2 linked regions of the Arabidopsis thaliana genome follow. Changing the gene in region 2 together with the main gene of any one other region gives a genetic interaction. Each region holds a gene or a part of one and is shown on either strand. Other genes may lie near its edges. The genes, in order: TIC and LHY.

Region 1 (8,138 bases), on a different chromosome or scaffold from region 2:
GTTCCCTACCTAACATCACCACCAAACAAAAACTCAAACCTCCCCAAGAAAAATGAATAAATTTTTTAAATTAGAGAACTTCTAAGAGGTTTTTGCTTCTTCCTTTTCTTTTTTTTGGGTTTTAGTTTTGGAATTGACACCGTAGGTTCCTGTCAGAATAATATAAACACTAATTGTACACAATGCTTTTAAAAAGCACCCCCAACTCCGAAAAAAATTGTCATCCCTTTTTTTAGTTGTTCTGTTCCGTCTGCTTCTTTCTTCATCAGACTCTTTTAAAGTCATTTCGTCTCGCCAGCACAAGCTATAACCGGAACTTCCCAACCATTCAGAGTCTTTTATGCTAAACAAAATAGTTTTAAAGATCTTTCACTCACCCGCCTGTTGCTTCTGATCCACGGGTTTGACCTGAACCGCAGAGGAAACAGCGTGAACATTAGTGAACCCTGGAGGCCCAAGCTGATGTTGTTGAGTTTTACCCATACCACCACCTCCTTTCATGTTATTCGCTGCAGATGCAGCCGCTATGGCTTTCGCTGGATCTGAAGTGGCGGTGACAGCTCCCGTGACTGGAACAGCAGGTGCTGAACCTGACTGTTGCTGGTGTCTTTGGATGTAATACCCACCAGAAGGAGATATGGTGATCTGTTGCTGTTGATGTTGATGTTGAGCTTGCATATAAGGATTAGAGAAGAATAGCTGTGCTTGCGGCTGCAGCCCATGCTTTGGCAACTGCTGCTGTTGTTGCGACTTGGATCCAGAGCTCGTGGTCGGGTTTCCGAGAACAGAAGGACCATTATTCCTTCCACCAGCAGATGACGCCGCAGATGCAGGCTGTAAGTTCTTGGACGGCTGAGATGCTGAGTGAGTAGTTGTGGAAGCTTGTCCACCTTTGTTTGCCGCCGAGGAAGCAGAAGCAGTTGTTCTTGGGCTTCCGCTGGCATTTTTGGAGACAGACGACGTCGAAGGCGACCCAACTAACATTGGTGGAGACGGAGCCTGGTGGTTGGTTCCTCCTTGTACCTGCTGCATTGGTGAACCAGAAGTCATTGGTTTTGAGTTTGCTGCAAAAGATATCTGCGATTGCTGGGGACGGCTTTGCTGTTTATGCGGGATGTTTCTTAGCGAAGATGCAGCAGCAACTGATGTTGATGGCGACAACATCGAAGGAGACTGAGCTTGGGTAGTATTTGTTGTCCTGGGTGAATTGTTTTTCCACTGCTGAGACTGAACCTGATTGCTACTCGACTGGACAAGGTTTTGAGGGAACCCTGAATTAGCATTTGCAAACTTGGTGGTTCCCGCAGGTGATGTGGTCATATTGTGATCAGGGAAACCACTCCCGTTACTCACCACGGGCCCTTTGGTTCTGGCAGCAGAAGCAGCCACTGAAGTTGCATACCGTTGCTGCTTCTGGAGGTACATGGTGGTATAAGGTTGCTGCGATTGACTCCGTTGCATATGCTGTTGCTGCTGTTGTTGTAGTAGTTGTTGATGATGAGACGTGGGTAAAGAACCCGAACTCTGTGGCAGAGCAGAACCAAGGTTGAGTAAACGGGATGAGCTATCAACGATGCTACCACTCGTGACAGCAGAAACAGATGCATCAGCTAAATCCTGTTTGTTAGAGAAAGCAATAGACTGCCCACCATTCCCACCACTCGTTTTCCCTATTGCCCCTCCTCCTGACTTCCTTTGTTCCTCAGGGGTATTATTAGCAGTAGCAGCACCACCAATAGACCCAGATTTTCCATCTTCTAGTGAAGCACCGTAGTTCATTTTTTGTTGAGCTGCTTGAGCAGCCATCATCTGATAACCTTGCCTTGCTGCTTCGGGCATGCTGTGGAACATAGCGTGATTCTGAGCAATTGATGACATGTTTAGGGTAGGAGCAGTGTTAGCCCCATTGAACGTCGCAAAAGTCATAGCATAACCCGGTGACTGGAAGGATTCTACACCAGCCTTTGAAACCTGCTGCTGTGATTTCTTTTCACCATGACTGCTCGAAGATCCAACCACCCCACCACCAGGGGCAGGGGAACTCATCAAACCCAAGTTAGTTGGTTGCATTTGCATACCATAGTTCTGGCCATAGGCAACATTGGAACGAGAACCCCGGCTATCAGCAGTTGATGGGCTATCTTCCCCTACAGTCTCACTATGTTGAGTAGCATTTTCTCTGGGTTGCTGCCTCTGCTGAAAATTCAAAGGCTGCGATTGCACTTTATGAGTTGGAAATCCTTGAGAGTTCCCATGATTAATCGGTGGCCTCAACTGTTGGTTCTGCAGATGCTTTTGAGCTGCTGAGGAACCAGTGGAAGCACTCCCATTCTGGTTGTTAGGAGCATGGCTCTGGAGCATTTGACCAGTTAGCTGCTGCTGATGCTGCTTTTGTGGCTGATGATGTGGAGGCTGGATCATTTGGGAGGAATAGAATGAACCATTAAAAAATGGCATCGGCTGCCCAGGAGCACCTCTATAAGCAGGTTGTGCACCAACATGTGCTGGAACTGGAAATGGATAGCCGTTATTCTGCAAAATGGCCAGGTACTGCGTTTCATTTCCCGGCATGGCAGGATAACTGAAGCTCATTGTTGGGGCACCAGCTGGAGTAGCTGATGCAGAACCATTCATGGAGGTAGAAGTAGCTGTTGGTCCAGAAGATGTGATGCCACTATTAGGAGGTCTGACAGATGCGGCAGCTATTGTAGCGGCAGCGTGAGGCTGTTGGCCCAAGGGGAATATGAATGTCGGACCATGCTACAATGAAAGTAAAAAAACAATCAGCTTATAAGAAGGACGACAAAACCTGATGAGAAACATGATACATGGACTAAAAAAACTAACCAAGATGCTATTAGCTGCTCCTGGAGGCAAAGCTTGTTGAAGCATTAATTGATTTCTTTGAGCTGTCTCTGAGCTTTTGGACGTAGATTGAGAATTCTTATCTTGAACAGGGTTGGAACTTCTTCCCAAAACACTCCCCTGAAGTTCTGTGGGAGGCATAAGACTGAGATTGCAGGCCTTGGTCCCATACATTGGAGCTGAGCCTGCTGCTGCAGGCCAGAAAGGATTCATCTTTGTGAATTGCTGATGAGATTGAATATTCCGAGCAATGTAGCAGTGTGTAGCACATCGCTTCGGCCTTGGTTGATTAAAAAGTAAATGAGGTGGAGGCTGCACAAGACCAAAATTTAAATCAGTAAAGGCAAAAAAATATAAAGAGAAATATTAGAATGGCACATCCAATCAAAATTACCTGCATTGCTGCAGCTGATAAGGAACTGGTATCCGTAGGCACAACTCCTTGTGTAGGTGCCATGTATCTGTTTAATCACAGAGTTTTACATTAGTACAACCAAAAAATAAAAAGGAGACTTAGGAAAAGTATCACATGCTTAAATTACAAAGAAAACATACCCCATTGTAGGAAGGCCCCCAGGCCAGCCAGGCATAGACATATGCAGAGGCAAATGGCTAGCTTGAGCTGGAATTTTTTAAAAAGAGGCCCAGTTAATTCAGTATACAAAAAACGAAACTAGTCCAGTCAGAGTAAGAAGAATGAATCTCAAGAAAGATGAAAAAGGCCTACCAGTTTTATCAGGAACAGATAGTTGCTGTTGCGGTGGCGGTTTCTGAACATGATGCTTGTTTACTAAACCCACATGATCAGATTTATCCAAGTCGAGTTTGAGTTCACAATTCCTCTCAAACTTATGGTGTTCAGCTTCAGCAACCATTCTAGGTCTCTTCTTCTCCTGAGAATCATGAATCGCCGGATCACTTCTATCTTCCTTAAGCAGAGGCTTTGCTTCCTGCTACATGCATTAGTGTGGACACAGGAGAGAATTAAAAAAAAGAGGGAGCCAAAAAGATGAAGATAAGAAAAAGAGAGCCAAAAAAAGCAAAAATGAAAAAGTAATGATGGATATCCCCAATTATCACAATATTACCAAACAAAAGTAGGCCCCACTCACCGTTTCCACTTCCGTGACTTTAGGTTTAGCTTCTGCCGCCACACATTCCATCATCTCTCCGCCTCTCTCCGACGACGATCTCACCGGCGGTGGCGCCTGAACCGACGGACAATTAATTTAGTACGGAACTTCAAAAAAAAAGGAAAATAAAATAAAATATATATGTTATTGACACTTACCATCAGATCTATCTCAAACTTCTCTTTTTCCGGCGAACTCCTGCATGATTAAAAACAAAAAACATTCAGTACCAAAACTTGGGTAAAAAATCCAGAAAAAATGAATGTATAGATTGAATGCTTACGATTTAGCTCCTTCACCATCGGATCTAAATCCTGAAGAAGATTCCACTTTCGGCAATATTGTTTCGTCTTTTGACAGATTGTTCTCTTTTTTCTCCGAATCTAACGAAGCGTTGCTTTCTCTCGTCAGTGGTATGATAGAATCCAATACGGAGCTGTTTCCTTCGCCGGATCCTGAGCTCTTTAGTTGATTACTGAACGGAACTTGACTTTTTGAAGGAGCTTCGGCTTCGGATTTGATTGTAGTGACGCGTGAACTGTTATCGTCTTCGTACTTGACATGTCTCGGCTTCTTTCTCTTAGGAGCTGAAGCGAAAATGGTAAAACAAAGTGAGCAAAAAAGAAAAAAAAAAACAAAAATAGTCGTTCCGATTTGTGAATGGAGAGAGGATGTTACCGATGGCTGAAACATTAGAGGAGCTAGAATTTGCAGCTAGTGTGATAGATGATTGAGGAAGAGTCTGAGGATTTGAGATCGGTGAAGAGACTCGAGATTTGACTTCTACAGTTGATTTCGCTGCCTCCGTCAAATCGTTACCGGCTGCTTCTTGTTTTGATGTGGAAGGCATCCTCATCATACCATACAACACTTCTGCAATCTCGATCTCGATCTCGTCTTGTACAGCCACTGGCGATGATAACTTACTCGATGATGACTTCGGCGGTAACGGCTTCTGTTTCGTCCCCGACGGCTAGAAGCAAAAATATATTAGTCAAAGAAGAAGATGGAGATGGAGAGATTTGAGTGTAAATTTTGAGAGACTAACCAATTTTTTCCTGACGGAAATGCTTGATGAAGAAGGAGACGTAGGAGCAGGAGGAGACGGAGATGCTAAAATCGAAGCCGGACTAACTCTATTAGCTGGAGACGTTGATGATATTTGCCGATGGATTTGTTCACCGGAAGCAAAAACACCACCTCCGGTAGTACTTGACGCCCATGATTCATGAGGTCTCTTCGTACACGCTGCAAAAATCGAAGAAGAGATTAGAAGAACTGTGAATCGAGATAGATCAGCGAGAGATATGTTTACAAATGTAAATTTCCACCTCTCTACCTGACCGAGCTTTTCTAGGAACCGAAACACCGATCATCTCGTCGGCGGCTTTCCACGTCGAGACAAGAGGTGATACCGGCGCCGGAGAAGGAGACGATCTGAAAACTTTCGTCGGCGGAAAATTATTCTTCCTCTGATGGTTATTGTTGTGGCTGTGATGGTGGTGATGGAGATTACCGCTACCTCCGTTGTGATGATTTGATAGAGACGATGAAAACGATGCAGCTGAGATATTATTGCTCGTCGGAGGAAGCATCTTCAACGAAGAAGGTGGTCCTACACCTCCGTCGTCATATTCTTCATCGTCGTTGACACTCTCTTCCGAGCTATCGTCGCCACCGTCGTCTAGATTACCGTGAACCATCATTAAGCGTTCTCCTCTCCGCCGTTTACTCCGGCTATTTAACCGATCTCTCTCCCTATCTCTTTCTCTTTCCCTCTCTCTGTCTCTATCACGTTCCCGATCTCGATCCTTCTTATTACTCCCTCCTCGATCTCTCAACCTCGCCGCCTCCGGTAACTCCACCGGACCTTCCTCCTCTGTGAAAAAAACGTTCAGAAAAATCAGAACCAAACGTTTTCTCTCAGATCTGATGAAAAACAAACCAAATCAAGAGATTCAAAAACAAACCTGGTGAATCTCTGAAACTTCCGGCTCTATGTCTCCGCCGGGAAAGACCATTTCCGGCAGCCGCCATAGGTACTCTTCTAGCTTCTCTATTTCTATCCATCTTCTTCTTCTTCTTCTCTAATGCTTCTCCTCTCTATTTCTCTTCTCCCAAATCGCAACCCCTTTTTCTCTCTCTTTATCAAACTCTCTCTCCTCTATCTCTCTACTTGCTTCCCATTATCTCCTTTATTTGTGCTCCTCATAAAAGCAGAGTAGCGAATAAATCCACGGCTCATATCTCCTGCCGTAAAACATTTTCTCAATCTTCACCGTCGGTGTGAATACATCCAACGGTCACGATACGCTATATACCAGCGTGACAAAATCTTGGCCCTCCGTTATAAGAGATCTCGCATATAATAATAAATAACCGATATTTCTTCTTTTATTAATTATTTTACCACCGATTATTATTTTATTATTAAATTAAAAAACGTATTCTTTAATTATTTTATTAGTCAGCATCCGTAGGTAGGACCCACTCAAAAATGATATCTTATTGTTATGATATTTTAGTATTTGATAACATTTAATTTTTCGGTTTTAAAAGAATATTATTTTCGGAGTCGGATTCATGTGAAAAAATTATTTTGGACTGTTACCAGTTATTAAACAGAAGCTGCCACGTGTCAAGAGTTTGACATCACACGCTTCCGTCTATATTATCGCTACCAATATTTTATTGACTTTGCACTGTCTAGAAATAAACAAACAAATAAAAAAACAATAAAATATATTGAAAGTCGGAAAGATTAAGATAATAATATTTAAATCTAAAAATAATCATCAATAGTATATTGTGCAATAAAAAGGCTCCTGGGGTAGTGTACTGTTGTCCACTAATCGCGATGACTCGTGTGAAAAGAAAACAAAAATACTGACATATACACGCACAAATATGATGTTATTTTAATTATTAAAATTCAAAATGTGTCTTGAGAAGATGTATCACCGGCTATTACCGGTAGACAGAGACCTTGGTAAAGGCAATCTACGATCAGAATGGAATCTTTGTGACCACCTATACAAACCGATCCAACCGGTAATATTAATCACATCAGGTTCCACTTCTCTACCTTCATCTTTTTTTTTTTTACTTTTCTCCATTAAGATCAAATGGCTAAATAGTTTTTTACTTGCCACTAACTATTTTTTTTTCTTCAACTCATGGAAAATAAATATTCAAATATTTACTTTCCTTCTTATTGATTTATTTGATATTTCTTACGTGCATGCAATAAAAGCTGTTAAATTAAATTTACCTTTTCAAATATGCCAGGTTTGCAAAATTGATCTTTTAAATTCTTAGAATCTAATAATTAAAAATGAAAATATATGGAGAATAATATTGGAAGTATCTACCACATTTTTAATTACTAATTTATCAACATTCTTAATTTATAATGAAAAAATCTAAAAGAGAAATTAAATCTTGATAATTCCTAGGTTAGATTAGTCAAATTGACATAACTATAAATTTCTATAAAACTAATTAAATCTGGTCATATTTGGATATTTCTAAAATAGTAATAAACCATATAATATCCTTTAGATTTTTTTAATTCTATTAGGGAAGGTAAGCTAAACAATAAACCTATAAAGTAAGGAAACAGGTCCTACCATAGTCTAAAATAATTTAACTCATTAATTACAAATCAACGGCCAATACCATTTGTTGCCAATTAGCTAAATGCTCTCACAACCGTTAGATCGTTTTATATTATATTAGTATTTTATTTTCTTCTATTTTTGGTTTTTAAACAATCTGACTTGGCAGAAGAAAACATCATCCAAAAAAAAAACATAAAATAAAATAAAAACTAAAAAAGGCGTTGAGTTGGCACCCGACCCGTTGATCTGAACCGTTCGATTTAGAAAAGATTAAACGGCTGAGATGGGAAGAGAGGGAAATGCATGTGGGACCTTATTCACTCAAGTCGCGGTCACGGAACTTCCGAGAAGTGTGGGGTCCACAGTTAGCTGCCAATGTGGAATTGCTCTTATCATCTTTTTTCTTTCTTTTCAATTATTACTTTTTTCACCGCTCTTTTTACATTATTTTTTATTTTTTTCACCTCTCTTTTCCCTTTTTTTTTTTTTCCTTTTGTGGAAATCATCTTTCACTGCTCTT
Region 2 (7,195 bases):
GGTTATCTTTAGTTTCTTCACTCATCTGTCAAAATCAGAACGTTTCATCACTCATTGATATTGACTGAATCTAACATCATAACCCTAATTGGCAGAGAGAGAATCAATCGAATCAAGAGTATTAAATGGAAAAAGCGAATCAAGACCCCACAAGGGAAAACAATCCTTAAAGCAGACTTGAGATCGATCATACCCAAATTATGGATTCATATATTGTTAACGTATCGATTACTGAAAAGATGTATACCAAATCTGTTCACTTTTTCTCTATAGACTCGATGGATGATTGAGATTTGAAGCAACAAAATACCCAGAAGATTAAACATGGAAAAGCATCAAACTTTGATGATCTTAGAACGATGACAAAAGAAAAAAAAACGTACCTTTGGATCGAAACGAAACAGCCGATTGTTGTTTTCTTTATCGCAAGGATGATGAAGAAACTTTGGGAGAGAAACAAGTGAAGCCCGTTGGTCTAGCAAGTGATTGTAAAATGTATATATGAGTCACCACCGAGATATACGGATCAAACTTTTATATTATCGTAACACTCACTACACTACCACTCAATTATTTACAAAGATTTACATCTTTTTAAAAATACTTTATTTTTTATTACGAAACATAGTTTGTGTTTTTGCGGTCACTCCTATAATCTATGTAGGATACTTGCATTACATTTTTCACAAATAATTTGGTTTGGTAGCAAGGATATGGCTCATTCAGTGAGAACAAAAAAATTGTATATCTACTCATTCATCAGTAAACCAAATTAAGAGATTGAAATATTGTATAAACTAGCTACACAATATAAGCCTTCTTTAGGCCTCTATTACTTAAGCTTGTAATAGGGAAAATGTTGTAATGTAGGCCCAAGTAGTGTGAGTAAAATCTTTAAGGCCCAGCCTAGCACCTTTGGGCATTTGGCGTTGGGCAACGAGCGCCTTCAAGTTTGAAACAAACAGAGAGAATCATTATGAAGAAACACCAAAAGACAAAACTTTCTAAGTTGTAACTTTTGTACAGTTCATCTTTTATCATTATAAACTATTTATGATCTCATCAATCAATATCCACAATTTTTAAAAAGAAGAATAAAGACAAATCCATTGCTTAATGGTTAATTAACAGTAGTAGCAGATGACATATAGACCACAAGTAGCATACACAAACAGAGACAAGAGACAAGACATGGGGTAATATGGTACAGAACCTGACATGACCAAAGAAATGTTCGGAAGGAAAATTAAAAGTCTCTTTCATAAAGATTGGAGAAGCAAACTACTAACACTAGATTTAAAGATATTGATAAAAATGTGGATGTTTTTTTTTTACCTCCAAGTCTGTCATGTAGAAGCTTCTCCTTCCAATCGAAGCCTTTTGCAGACTTTTTCATCACTTTGATTGTTTATGTTCCCAACTTGGCTCTCTTTCACTTCCATTGAACATCTCTTGTATGGCTTAAATCCTGTCTGTCTCGTTTTAAGACTCTTGCATGTTCCAACACCGATCATTACTACTCCTTCTTGGTCTGCAGCACAAGAATCCTGGCTTTTGAAATTAGGAGCCAATGGCATTGACGTGTCACTTTGTTTTCTATTCACATTCTCTGCCACTTGAGGAGGCGAAAAGCTTTGAGGCAATCTTTCTCTTGCAAAGAGAGCCTGAAACGCTATACGACCCTGAAAATATTTTGATAGTGTTAGTTCCCAGAAGAACTCTGCAATATCCATGAATCATTGGTTTTTGTTTTACCTCTTCGGAGACTTCCTTCCACGAATCAGTAGTTGCATTGTTGTTGCTGTTGTTGTCTCTCATTTTAATCTTACGGTTATTTAACTCAATAACATCTGGCTGATTCTCATCTGTCTCCTTCACATCCTCTTTATCTTTCTCCATTTTATCTAATGCATCAGTTTCTGCGTCACTCCCTGAAGGTGTATTTGAGCCACAGGATGAGCGGTCCACAAGATTTTTCTTCTGGGCAGTGTTTGAGTCATGCACAGCGGCAGTAACAACAACCTCCTCAATTTTATCATCATTGGTTTTTGAGTCGGCATTTAGCTTGGTTACTCCAGTCTCATCTGAATCATCAGATGATGAAGCTGGAGATTTCGAAGCCAAGTTTTGATCTTGCAGAGCTGTGTTTTGTTTCTCAAACGGTTGAGTATTTTCAACGGTATCCATTTCAGTCATTGCTGGAGTTGGAACTGCAACAGTTGAGAATGGAACACATGTTATTGGAGCTGGAGCGCATACAGGAAGAAGTCCATGAGAAGCCCACCAAGCAGTTGCAGCAGCTACTGTAGCAGCGGCAATGGCAGTTATACTTGGAGGAGAAGAGCTCATTGGGGTTGATGAATCACCAGAATTCCCGACACTCGCATAAGGCCAGACCGAAGCAGCGAATGTAGCTGCAGCATGAGCTGCAGGATTCTGTAGGAGAGTTGACATAATAAGATTGGAGAAAGTAGATGATATCTGGAGAAACGAACGGTAATCATCCTGTGAATGACAAGCTGGAAACGCTTGATGAGAAGCTGTAGTAGTAGCAGATGCTGTTGTAGCTTGAAGATTTGCGTGCCCGTGAGTTTCTTCTCTCATAGGATGAAACATGAAGTCTTGAGATACCATACCTGAGGGATGATTTTGAGGGCATTTTGCTATATTCCCGTTCACAATATCTGCGTGGAAATGCCAAGGGTAGTTTTGCATGCTGTGCACAGTAGTACCATCGTTACCATCTTTGTCTTTGTTCTTCTTGGGAACATCTTGAACCGCGTTGTCCACAGTTGAGGTCTTACTTGTTTCAATGTCGCCACTTACCTGCTAAAAATCAGAATGGAACAAATAATTTGTCATGCACTTGAAAGCATTCATCAGATTCTTCGACTACAATTTTGTAGCTTTCTTAGACTTACTTTCGTTGGTAAGGGATACTTGTTCACAGTAGAAACACCCGAGCAATTCTCATCTTGATTTTCTTTTCCAGTTGATGTTTTCTAACCAGAAAATAAAACATAAGAAGTCTATCACAAGACCACCAAAATGATAAAATGAAGAAGAGAAAGATCAGGAATAAACCTCAGAGAACGGCATTTTTTCCAAATCCAAGAACGCCTGATTCAACTGTGAAGAAGAGGCCGATGAAACAAGTTTTGCATCTTTTGCTGATGATACTTGAGAGGAAGATGTACCGTTGTTCCCAGGCTTTCGAGGATAAGGAGTATTGGGTTTTCGTTTAGGACGAGGAGGCGGAATTTCTATGTCCAAAGCTTGGCAAACAGGGATGCCTTTAACTTCAGCCTCTTTCTCCAACTGAAATGTGAACCAAAAACTGTGAGCTTTTCCAAACTGGAGATGGAAAAATGCAGCTCAGATGTGAAATCCTGAGATTCATGAAATTGACCACATCACCAAGGTTGAAAAAAGTCTTATACTGACCCGAATTTTTCGGGGTAGAGATGATAGAGTTACTTCATGTCCTGTCCTATAGGGCAAGGAGGTTTGGTTTCCATATGGATGGCTAAAAGAATTCATGCAATCCCATTATTTCATCGACTTTAGTGAATATGGGACAATTGTGTCATCCAAATGCAACGCTAGTTATGTTAATTTGGACCTATCTTATGGTCTCAGAGAAGAAAGCTCTCTGTAGAGTTTTTTCTAACAGTAAGTTTGGACAGACCAATCTAATGTTAAGTTTAGTTGAACAGAGTAAATGAAAAAGATAAAAAACGATCGAGATGCAATCCTCGGAACCAACCAACTCTACTTAGCAAAACACACTCTACTTAGACGCCTAATTTCTAGTTGAAGCAATTAGAGAAAAGGAAGAATAAGAAGAACCTTCTATCATCTTTTCCAGACAGTGACAGGCAACTTCTAAACATAGTCATAGATCGATATGAAAAAATGGTACCTTTACACAAGATAACGAAAGTGTTTTAAAAAGATCTGAAAGGATCATCAACTTACCTTTGTGAAGAACTTTTGTGCATGACTTCTGATCTGAACAGCAGTCTTTGTCCCAATATGTTCTGCACACAAAATGAAAAGAAAAGAAGGAATCTCCCAATCAAGAGGAGATAAAGACACTCCTAAACAAAGGAATATAAAATCTCAAAGAGTTCAAACTAAACATTCAAAAGATAAACTTTCGACCTTCAATTCGTTGCCAAGCTCTTCCATAAAGCCTCAAGGCTTCTAGAAACCTCTCATGCTCATCCTCAGTCCATCGCTCTCGCTGCTTTGTTATTGTATATGGCTTTCTTGCCTAAACATTTGAAAACCCAAAAGAAAATCAAATCTTCACACAACAACAGTCCAAATCTCTCAAACAAAAAAACACCAATCTTATTTCATTAGTAGTAGTACCTTAGCTAATAATTCTTCTCCAGATGTATTAGTATCCATAACAGGACCGGTGCAGCTATTCGCTGCTTCAAATCCTCTCTAACAAGTAAAGTATAAAAAAGAAACCATCTTTGATCTCCCCAAACATGAAAGTTTTCAAATTGCAAAGCCGTTGTGATAACCTCTTTAGATTCTAGAGAAACTGCAAAGGAGAAAGTACTTTATGAGAAATATTTATCCACAAACACTAAGATAAGAGTGATGAGCGAAATTCAAAAGAGAAATCTTTTCAAAGTCCACCGTGAAACAGTCGCTGCTTCTCCAGCAGAACTCAAAAGAATTCCCTTTATTATTATTCACAAAAGCCTCACCCAAACGAATCCACCGCAGCCAAAACCTTCACAAATCTTCATATCAGTAATCAATCACCAGATTCGTATCATTTATGCTAACTTTTAGAGCTAATAAGATTTAGTTAATCGCTTCTATAAGTTTCTCAGCAGCCAAACAGAGATCTTAGTATGTTATAGGAATCCTAGAAACTGCTCATAATGTAAACTGTTATACCCTTGAGAGTAGCCATGGAGGAGACAAGTATGCAATCTGACTTATCATCTCACCGGGAACTCCCCGGAGAAGTCATCGTTCCCGGAAATAATCAAATCGGAAGCAAAACAAAAAAAAATCTCTAAAAATAAATTTAAAAAACAGAGAGAAGAAGGAAGAAGATAACTGAAGAAGAAGAAGAAGAAGAAGAAGAAGAAGAAGAAGGAAGACTGTTTTAGGCTGAAGAAGACTGGAAGAAGAAGAAGAGAAGCCAGAAGCAATCTCAGCCACAACAATTTTTCCCCTAATTTTTGGAAAAATTTTAATTGAAAAGTTTATTTGAGGCTGGAACAGCACCAAGGGTATAAATGGAAAAAACAGAAGTCATCGCAGATCGACACGTGGTGATATTGTAGTGGCTGTCTACTGCACTTTTTGGTATATCTCAAGTTGCTTCTCTACGAGCCAGAAGCTTCAATGTGAAGCTCACGTAGGTAAAAGTGAGTGTGGTGGTCCACAATTGCTTACGTGTAAACGATTATTGGTACAAACTTGGACGACTAAACAAGTGGGTACGGTGCCAGCTGTGATGGTGTACTGCTACGTATTGGCTATGCTGGATCTGGGCTTGTAATAAGACATTGTATGGGCCTCACTTTTACGCCTATTCTATATAAATTTGCGTATTAACATAGTTGAATTAAACCCGACAAGCTTGGACTGCTCGGGGAACTTGCGTCTGTATAAAAATCTTCATCTTTTCATATAATATCATGCAATGCCTATACAAAATTTCAACAAATTATCATCGAGAACTTTGGTCAACTTGCTTATATAACATTTGTAGAAATTAAGGAACATTAATTACTCTTAAGTCTTAACCGAAGCATGTAGTATTTATTTATGGAATTCAGCAAACATCATTACACTCATTTTTTTAGATTCCAGCTTACAACTGTGTTTTGCTTAAAGCAGAAGCGTTTAACATAGTTATAGATACTCTAATGTTGGAGCAGAGCTTAGTTGCAATATTTTTTGAAGTTGACGGCCTCATCGGTCAGGAAGCCACTACAAAAGGTTACCGAGAACTTTGGTTAGTTCGGTTCGGTTCTAGGTTAACCAAAAAACAATAGACCAGTTTTTGTTACTAACCGAAGAACTGAACTACCCGAATCTAATTGAAATAACCGAAATTATTCCAAAATAACCAAACAAACCGGATTTAAATATTTCACAAATCTCTACGTTGATGTTTGGAATTATAAAATTTTATCTCTCATTACCTCTCCTTAAACATTAACTAGGACATAACAGTTATTTGAAACATACATTAACAACAATATAATTAAATTAAACGGGCGACTTAGAGTCGTTATCCTTATTAGGAGTAGTATATTGAGCTTCGTTATCCATTCCTGAAGACAATGCAGTTGATGATTCCGTTTCTTTGTTCTTCCCCCACAAGAACATGTAGAGACCCGTTATGGTCACTAGTGATCCAATCACACTGTAGACCAAAAGTTTTAATGTTGTAATTAGTGTTATGCCTAGACAAAATTAATTTGATAGAGATTATCGAAGAAGATACCTTCCAAGGTATAAAGGAGTGTGTAAAATGAGGAAATCAAATAGAGTAGCCGAAATGAGAGTAAGTGGGAAAAACGCCGATGCGAACACAGCTCCTAATTTTTTAATCCCCCATGTTGTTGCAACCGTCGTCATTGCTTGTCCTACCACTCCCTATAATATATGATAAAAAAAAACCACATAAAAAAACCCACATTAATATCTTAAGTTCTTACATACTAATCTTATAATTTTTAAAAAGTTAATTTATAAAGATATGATGTTTGTAACTTACAGCGTATATGATGACGGTGATAACGAATCTATCATCTATGATCCAATCATTAACGTCTCTGCTCTTGTAAAGGCTCAAGAGAGCACATTGAAATGCCGCGAAAATTGACATAAGACAAGTGCTCGAGTATTTGCAAGGGTACTTAATACTTAAAGTCCCTTGAAACAACATCCATAGAGATAGCAACACTGTTCCTATGGTTAAATAAAGACATCCAAGAAGCCAATTATTGGCCTTGTCTTGATCGTTGTTGTTGTGGGAAGCCCCACCGTGAGAGTGAGAGTGAGAGTTTGATATTTGTGGGCCTTTGTAAAATGTTAAGAACAAAGCTCCACTTATACAGATCAAAGTTCCAATCACCTTCAACATTCCTGCTTTGGTCTTTAGAATCTTCACATTTTCAGTCCTAAAAAAAGTAAAATTTTAATGATT

Evidence for each region.
Region 1: of LHY (region 2) and TIC, changing one enhances a phenotype caused by changing the other (phenotypic enhancement), as found in Arabidopsis thaliana (one study listed by BioGRID).

What each region holds. Positions count from the first base shown.
Region 1 is NC_003074.8:7,911,111-7,919,248, reverse strand, and holds the start of TIC (time for coffee), read right to left. Parts: upstream 6,345-8,138; 5' UTR 6,069-6,344; coding exon 5,969-6,068; intron 5,878-5,968; coding exon 5,338-5,877; intron 5,247-5,337; coding exon 5,047-5,246; intron 4,972-5,046; coding exon 4,677-4,971; intron 4,586-4,676; coding exon 4,282-4,585; intron 4,197-4,281; coding exon 4,157-4,196; intron 4,074-4,156; coding exon 3,978-4,073; intron 3,819-3,977; coding exon of another isoform or gene 3,816-3,818; coding exon 3,593-3,815; intron 3,488-3,592; coding exon 3,421-3,487; intron 3,327-3,420; coding exon 3,260-3,326; intron 3,178-3,259; coding exon 2,848-3,177; intron 2,761-2,847; coding exon 378-2,760; coding exon of another isoform or gene 370-377; exon of another isoform or gene 305-369; coding exon 282-304; 3' UTR 1-281. UniProt on the Arabidopsis thaliana protein: Regulator of normal clock function. Acts in the mid to late night. Contributes to the amplitude of circadian clocks. May act on the transcriptional induction of LATE ELONGATED HYPOCOTYL (LHY).
Region 2 is NC_003070.9:32,646-39,840, forward strand, and holds LHY (Homeodomain-like superfamily protein), read right to left. Parts: upstream 5,113-7,195; 5' UTR 4,924-5,112; exon of another isoform or gene 4,754-4,923; 5' UTR 4,728-4,753; exon of another isoform or gene 4,559-4,727; 5' UTR 4,417-4,558; coding exon 4,378-4,416; intron 4,277-4,377; coding exon 4,165-4,276; intron 4,041-4,164; coding exon 3,979-4,040; intron 3,527-3,978; coding exon of another isoform or gene 3,445-3,526; intron 3,355-3,444; coding exon of another isoform or gene 3,319-3,354; coding exon 3,085-3,318; intron 3,003-3,084; coding exon 2,922-3,002; intron 2,830-2,921; coding exon 1,756-2,829; intron 1,683-1,755; coding exon 1,347-1,682; 3' UTR 1,336-1,346; exon of another isoform or gene 1,017-1,335; intron 945-1,016; 3' UTR 734-944; downstream 1-733. Other genes in the region: PPa1 (pyrophosphorylase 1), read right to left, coding at 1-25; UMAMIT28 (nodulin MtN21 /EamA-like transporter family protein), read right to left, coding at 6,253-6,409, 6,491-6,642, 6,764-7,169. UniProt on the Arabidopsis thaliana protein: Transcription factor involved in the circadian clock. Binds to the promoter region of APRR1/TOC1 and TCP21/CHE to repress their transcription. Represses both CCA1 and itself.